2 linked regions of the Neodiprion lecontei genome follow. The protein of the gene in region 1 interacts with the protein of each later gene in a pairwise test. Links are inferred from orthologs where the notes say so. Each region holds a gene or a part of one and is shown on either strand. Other genes may lie near its edges.

Evidence for each region. The genes of interacting proteins can lie anywhere in the genome.
Region 2: the proteins of BTB/POZ domain-containing protein KCTD9 (region 1) and protein N-terminal glutamine amidohydrolase interact in binary tests that used the Homo sapiens proteins (3 or more experiments, as listed by UniProt). The link is inferred for Neodiprion lecontei from reciprocal best matches to the Homo sapiens genes KCTD9 and NTAQ1.

The regions. Positions count from the first base shown.
Region 1 is NC_060262.1:3,816,872-3,820,627, forward strand, and holds the start of BTB/POZ domain-containing protein KCTD9, read right to left. Parts: upstream 2,871-3,756; 5' UTR 2,835-2,870; coding exon 2,802-2,834; intron 2,447-2,801; coding exon of another isoform or gene 2,406-2,446; exon of another isoform or gene 1,988-2,405; intron 944-1,987; exon of another isoform or gene 727-943; coding exon 619-726; intron 375-618; coding exon 253-374; intron 136-252; coding exon 1-135. Other genes in the region: telomere length regulation protein TEL2 homolog, read left to right, coding at 2,406-2,446. UniProt on the Homo sapiens protein: Substrate-specific adapter of a BCR (BTB-CUL3-RBX1) E3 ubiquitin-protein ligase complex, which mediates the ubiquitination of target proteins, leading to their degradation by the proteasome.
Region 2 is NC_060262.1:1,654,892-1,658,647, forward strand, and holds the start of protein N-terminal glutamine amidohydrolase, read left to right. Parts: upstream 1-1,352; 5' UTR 1,353-1,661; coding exon 1,662-1,753; intron 1,754-2,429; coding exon 2,430-2,583; intron 2,584-2,746; coding exon 2,747-3,017; intron 3,018-3,101; coding exon 3,102-3,262; 3' UTR 3,263-3,756. Other genes in the region: isochorismatase domain-containing protein 1, read right to left, coding at 1-33, 160-345, 495-638, 843-971. UniProt on the Homo sapiens protein: Mediates the side-chain deamidation of N-terminal glutamine residues to glutamate, an important step in N-end rule pathway of protein degradation.

The DNA of each region.
Region 1 (3,756 bases):
GTCGTGACGAAATATTTCCCGCCGACGTTCAAAGTCAGCCATTCCGAACTCGTATTATTCGATGAACTTCGCTCCTTGTTAGACTTTTTCGTAATAAAATCTTCACCACTTGATACGTACAAAACATCGTCATCCCTGGTCGGTATGGATAAAAAATTTATCAACAATCGAAATCTCTGTATTTCAATTTACATCTTTGGAATTTTTTCTCTGCGATTCGAATCAAATAAAGTAACGCTTCGTACAGCTCACCTGATGAGCTTCAAATCGTCAATTTCTCCGCCGTGCGGTGTGAACAGCCTTTTAGCGGATATTTCAAACTTCAAACTAGCTGCACATAGAAGCTCGTCGATAGAGTGCGTCACCATAAATACCTACAAACAATAAATCACACGAAACTATGAAATATTATCAATCGGTAAATTCAAATCAAACCAAATTAGGCGCGAAGCGAGTTGCGCCTGAACACTACGTTAGTCAAATATCAGTGATAACGCCGCTTTAAAGATGCACGTAAATCATGATACTCTCGAACAACTTCACGTTAATCATAGGTTGGATTTATACTTGATGGAAACAATAAAATGACTACTTGCATGATCAAACAGAGTACTTTACCTTGCCGTTGACATCCGTCCCGTTGATAAAAAGAACAACTCTCTTCATGGCTGACAATTTGGATTGACTGGCATGCGGTCGAGTGTACTTTCTGGTTTCTGGTTGAAACTGAATAACGAGTTAACACGGAATTATACTTGTGTGATGTTTATTCACTCGTCGGAACAGAACCCTGCATTGGCGTTCAACGTGGAGCCATATTTGACCAGCAGTCATCCCAGCCCGTAAGGTGGCAGGTGCATGACAAGCCACGCCACCTCCCAACGTTCGTTTCGACGATGAATAGAACGGATGCACGCCTCACTGCATCCGGTTTTTGTCCTCCCTGTTGATGTCAATTCAAGATTCACCACGATTGCGGAAGATGATATTTCAAAATAAAGAACGTTAAATCCATTGCAACGAAGTTTCAATTTGAATTCTATGACGTCATTTGTTCCACAGAAATAAAATGGCGGTCAAAACTGCGTGACTAGGGCGTGTAGAGTCCTTTTATTTTTCGCTTATGAAGTGCACGATGGGTGCACGACTGCATAGCAAATTCTGTACTATACGCATCTAATCTTCTGAAATTGACAGGGTATCAATTTTCAAATACAAAATAAACGAAGAGGAAATTCAAAAGTTTCGCGCCATAAATAGAGCAGAGCTTATTTGAAACTTGGGTGAATAAATCTGGCGGGGGTGGTTTTATTTATTTAATAACATAAGCTATCGCGTACGTACAAAATTCTAGCAAAATGACGTTGTTAGAGAATATCAGGAACGATGAATTTTTTTAAACTTTAGGTTTATAACAGACATTTTGTAACCGAGATCAGCGCAAGTTTAAAAAATTTCATAAAGTTGAGAAATGAGTCGAACAAATTTCCAAAATACACCTATTATATCTCAACTTATTACCCTCCAATTTTCCATCGAAATTCGTAGATAACATTTGATATTTATCGCAATTTTCCATATTCTCGTCAACCGTACCGTGAGACAGAAAATTAACTTGTATTTGTATTTCATTATATTACGAAAACACTCAGGCATACATCGACATCATTATATGATACTTCAAAACGTGCAACAACAAAAGTTAAAGGTCGTACAAGCAATTAGAAAACATTCCACGTTCAACAAAATATAATATAAAAACAAATTAGCAAAGACAACAACTCGACAAATAAGTCTCAGATAGTAATGGTGGACTACCTAGCGGATGATTTCAGAACTACTTAAAAAAAACTAATCATTGAAAGAAAAGTCATTGACTGATTCGTACTACACGTTACGTACAATAAGACACGTATTTACCGCGGTTACTCAATGAGTAGTTGGAACATACGCACAGATACGAAGCAAAAGGCGTGTGGGTGTCAAAAAGTTCAAAAAGTTACCGCCAGATCGATCTGCCTTCGCGCTACGAGCGAATTCGCCAAATGTGTGGATAATTTGACAGTGTGAAAGAGGGACGATATATCGGCGTCCGCGTTGCGTGGATTTTTTTTCCGAATTAACAAGTGGTTAAAATTTGAAAAAAAATTCATCGGTGGTTTGATTTATCGATAAATTAAATTTCGCGCCAGACGTTTTCCGTCTAAATTGTCGAGTCGAAGTCTGGCAGACGTGTTGTACACACGACAAAGATGGCGGTTGTCTGCTGACGTTTCTATCATTGGAAACGAGTGCCGATTAATCAACGACACGGCTCAAATGAGCGAGATAAAACATCTGGATATTTAATTAGCCCGCTGGAATAACGGTAACAAAGAAAATTGTACAAACGAAAAAACGTCAAGATGATGAACATGTGGAAAATGCGTGAGCTTATGGATAAAGCGTGAGTAGATTAAATTGTACCGATCGTTCGTTTTCACCGTGCGGATTCAACATAACCTGATATTCCACCTTTTCATTTTCCTTTTTTTTCTCCCCGCACCTTTTTTTACTCCAATTTTATCACACATTTTCCTCTCACTTATTCGCACCTCTCGTACTTTCGCCCAACCTGTACTTGAAACTCTATTAAAATCTGACAATTTATCACTACCGAATCAGTTTTGCTGTTGCTACTACATATTGAACGAGAAAAACAAAACACCTGCTATCCTACAATTACAATGATAACACAATATTCATGAATTGCGAAAAATCGAGGATTCTGCAAAATCGTGAATCGCAGATTCCTATCTTACTTGAATAAAATATGTGACAATTCGATCAACCATGATTACGATAATCCCCTCTAAATTTTCACTACAATTCAATTACCATCGACTCTTCTGCAGCGATGCAAACTTTTCATTTATTCAGAGTTCTACAGATGTTTAGAATTAGGACGATAGTCAAGTGACGGTTACTTAATCGTTGCACACTGTCATGCTTCCTCATCCGCGAGTCAGACTCAAGGTCACTGTGTGCATCCACCGGCGCATATTGTACCTATGCATATATACGTACGTAACTTTGTTGTACGGTTGTATATATCAGCAAGAGACAACGTGAGGCAAGGCAGCTTACGTAATGTTGAGTAAATACTGATAACTTTATTGTTATGTCGTCCGTACGAGCTTATGGATATAGATTAATTTATCAAGCATGGCCTGAAAAAACAGTAAAAAGAGACAATCTGCACTTTACCTGCGGTCATAACTAAATTAGTTTAATTCCCGATGAAAAGATATTTAATTATTGTTGTTCATCCATTTGGCATCTACTTAGTCACAAATTTTAACTACAAACCTAAACAATGCTAAAACTGTCAACTTTCTTTATTCCGTGAGGCTGGTAATGGAAAAGCTGCATCTTTAGTCATGAAAATAAGAAAAATGTTTTTGTGACTGTCACGCAACTCTGTTGCAACATATTCGATGTGACAAATGTCCGTGTCACAGATTAGAGACTAATTAACAATTATCGTTAAAATTAATTTAGTTCCACTCACCGGCATTGAAAGATAATAAATTTCGCACTGATATGATATAGATTTGCGAATGGCAATGGTACGAAAATGAAGGATAAAGTGAAAGTTGTTCCATTACGTAAATGAACTGTATTTGGTAGTATTTCATAATGTGACGATAATCACTGTAGGGATTGAAATTGTTGTATAATGAATCAACAGGTGTTCACTATCAATAAGAGATATAA
Region 2 (3,756 bases), about 2.2 Mb from region 1:
AGTTGCTATCTGACACCCGACTTGCCTCATTCTCTGTAAGGAATTGAAACAGCGTAAATCACTAGAGTATTCGCAATTACAAATATTATTCACTATTTACACCAAATTTTCGGTGTGGTTTGAATAAGTTATGTCCTATGCGTCAAGCACTTTCATTACCTCGATCGCAAGCAATCTGTCCTCTTGCGTGCGAGACGAGCAGCAATCGGCCACCGCATGGACCTGGAACCCATTGGCGGTAAGATCCAGTGCAGTTTGCTCGACGCAAACATGTGCCTCGATCCCAATGAGAACTACCGACTCTGGAGGACCACCTGAGCAGAGCGTAGAAAGTTCTTTGCGCACCTGAATTCAGACAACATGCTACCGTGTGATTCGTCGCTATTTTACTGACTAAGATTTTAACTTCCAAAGAGAACGGGAACAGGATTAAAGAGAATTCTTTATCATAATATCAAGTTTTAGGAGAACTGGATAAACGAGATTCTCCTTACTTCTTCAGTGTACATGCTGAACTTGGTCTTTGCGAACGGTCCTTTTGCACCTGTTATATCCAGTTCCGAAACTGTGTTTCCTAAAGCCTTAGGATTCTGCTCGGTAACAATGATCGGTACATCCAACAAGCGCATGCCGTTCACCTGGGAGATGAGAATGATACGATAATTTCAGATCGCTAATGATTTGATGATAGAAAGAAAAACGAAATTAATGTTAGTATCGTTATTGTAACTAAGCATTGGGGAAAAATTACTAGTTTTCTAATTTTACAATGATTTTTTAAGGAACTAAGATGATGTTACTAGCTTCAATATGATTTAAAAAAAAATTAAATCTCGAATTACCAGCTTCGCAGAGTTAGCGACGATCTTATCGAACTCGAATATAGCCTTGGCGAATTTCACCTGCATATCGCAAACAAATAAAGCCGTTTTCCCGTGGCGAAGGATCGCCTTCGTAGCGCTCAGAGCCATGATCCAAACTGTGATATCTGCTCGACGATACTTTAACCCGCAATTACGACGAATCGAAAAGAGTTGGGTACAGAGCTGCAAATTTCATGGGTAGTAGTATCAGTTTCGGGTTTAATCCTCTTTGAGCGTTCCCTCTGGCCCAGGCCCTTCTATCTAATCTTCTTTGGGGTTTAGCCGAGTCGGATTAGGTTAGGTTAGGTCAGGCTATCAGCCAATAAAGAAGCGGATCTGTTCGCATCGAGTTGAGAGATGGCGCTACCGGCGGGAAATCCGCATGACAAAAGAAGGTCGCAATAAAAAAATCAGAACTGCGGCCTGCGCAGTAAAGCGAATGTGCGAATACCGATGCAGAGAGATACATAAAAAGCCTTCCCGAAATCCCCACTCAACAGGCAAATCATAGCTGCCGAGCTCTCGCCACTCCGTTTTTCGCTTGCAGACGACGCAAGAACCGCTTATTACCGGTGAATAAAAAGCGTTACGAAGAGCGAAAACTCCCGATAAAATAAGCGTGACGATAGTAATTTTGCGTAAATTGGGGTGAATGAAAAGTGTCATGAAGTGTGAGAGTATCACGCGGCGATAACGCGGTGAAATATCACCAGAATAGCAGACAAGCGCGAATAACAATTGAACATTAAATCGAAGGTAGAACCAATATCGGCTGATCGAGTGTAAACAGACTCGAGGATGGCTGCGGAATCGCGTGGTGCTGGAAACACGAAGCCTCTTGTCCCGCTATTCACCAAAGCCTCGGACTGCGTCCACACGAGTTGCTACTGGTGAGTTTCCGCCGAATTCGATACCCTCCTTGCTCATTTTATCGTTCATTTTCTTTTCACTGACCAGTGTCGTACTGCGGCACAGGTATCGGGGATCGATATCGCGGATTGTGGGATTCTTGCGGTCGTGCCCTGCCAGGATACGACGCCATTTTTAAAGAGACTTGCCACCGACCAATCGCGTTCGCTTCTTTATCTCGCGCCAAAATTCCGAGCCCGTCATTGGACGCCCGGCCTGTTTCAAGCGACGTGTTATTGTTATTAGCCCGCGAACCCAACAACGACCCGATTTGTATTAATGCGGGAGAGTTACGCGGGTTTATCGGCGTTAATAATTCACCCCGCGATAACAGGCACGGACACGACACCAGCCGCGCACGCGATGTACATACTTTGCATGTTTTTGCAGTTTTTATCCCACTTTTTATATCTAAATCATCCCTCGAATCGCGCCGAGTTTATCCAACGTAGCGACCTTTGTTGTGTACACCGTTATTACGCTCACGCTTTTTCGCTTTAATCACTTCTAAACTGTATAAATTATTCAATCAAAACACTTCGGGCACCTCGTCGAGGTCCGCTCGTGTTTCAACTTCTATCTCTCTCTCTCTCTCTCGCCTTCTATTTCCCATCTCACTTTTATTTACACCGAGATGAACTCTTTTCCATATTTCAGCGAAGAAAACGTATGGAAGCTATGCCAGGACGTCGCCACTAGGCACGGCCCTGAATTGCAACACTGCTACGTCGCTTTCATCAGCAATCCTGGAAGAAGCGTTCCTCTCTGGCGTCAGAAGGCTGGCAAGGATGAGGATCAGCTTGTCCTTTGGGTCAGTATTGTCGTCTTGATGGATGGTTGGCTAAATTTTCAAATCTTGTGTCAGGTCTCTAGACTGTGAAAACCGATCGACTGGTTCCTGCCCATACTGGAATTTTTCAACCACTCATAGCAAGACATCGTTTTACACCACTTTATTTCTTTTCACTCTACAGGACTATCACGCAATATTAATCTACGCACCTGACGACAGAGCGGTGGTCTACGATCTAGACAGCGCTCTTCCATTTCCGACTCATTTCTGGAAATACGCAACGGAAACGTTCAGGTCCGACGAAGCTTTGCGCTCCGAGTACCACAGGAGATTCAGACTAGTCCCTGCTGCGACGTACCTGCAGCATTTCGCCTCCAACAGGCAGCACATGAAACGAGAAGACGGCACATGGATCAAAACCCCTCCTGAATATCCTCCGATCTCTACTCCAAGTAAGTTTTCAGACTGATCAGAATTTGTGGCCTTGGAATCGACAGATTTTGAACTTTACATACTCACTCAACTTCGTTTCTCAGCCTGCAAGGATAATCTGGACACTTTCATAAACATGGAACCGGGAACGGGTCTCGGAAGTATCCTAAGTCTGAAGCAGCTGGTAAATAGATTTTACAGACCCAGTGTTCCGACCACTTCTCCGCCGCAGCAGCAGCAGCAGACTCACACAACGCCGACTTAAGCGGAACGTTTTAATTGTCGGCAAGGCGTTTTGCCGTCGCGCGTTGATATCTGAAATGAAGAAACGATTAATTGGGTCTAAAAAACGTCCCTGGTTCAGGTGAAATTTCTCAACAGTCGAGTGAAAAATGTGCAGTCTGATAGCGTTTACCAAAGTTTGACGTCAGGTTCGATAAAAGGGGATAAAAAGCTGGGGAGTTTAAACATTTCATTAATACAAAGTATATTTCTAAAATCAATTCCACGCCTTAAACGAGCCTTTTTTTTAGCAATGTATGCATGATGCTTTTTGCTGTTAACGTTGTCGATGAAGTAGACAGTGTTTTGCTTAAATTGCGTTAGTTCAATTCTATGAACGATTTATGCAATTAATCATTGCGCAATATATGTTTAGAGAGATTACAGATTTTTTACTGTCAATATATACACATTTAGTGTGCTTTTAAACGAGACTCTAATTTCTTCAGCTGTGTTTCACCAAGACTTTTTTCTTAC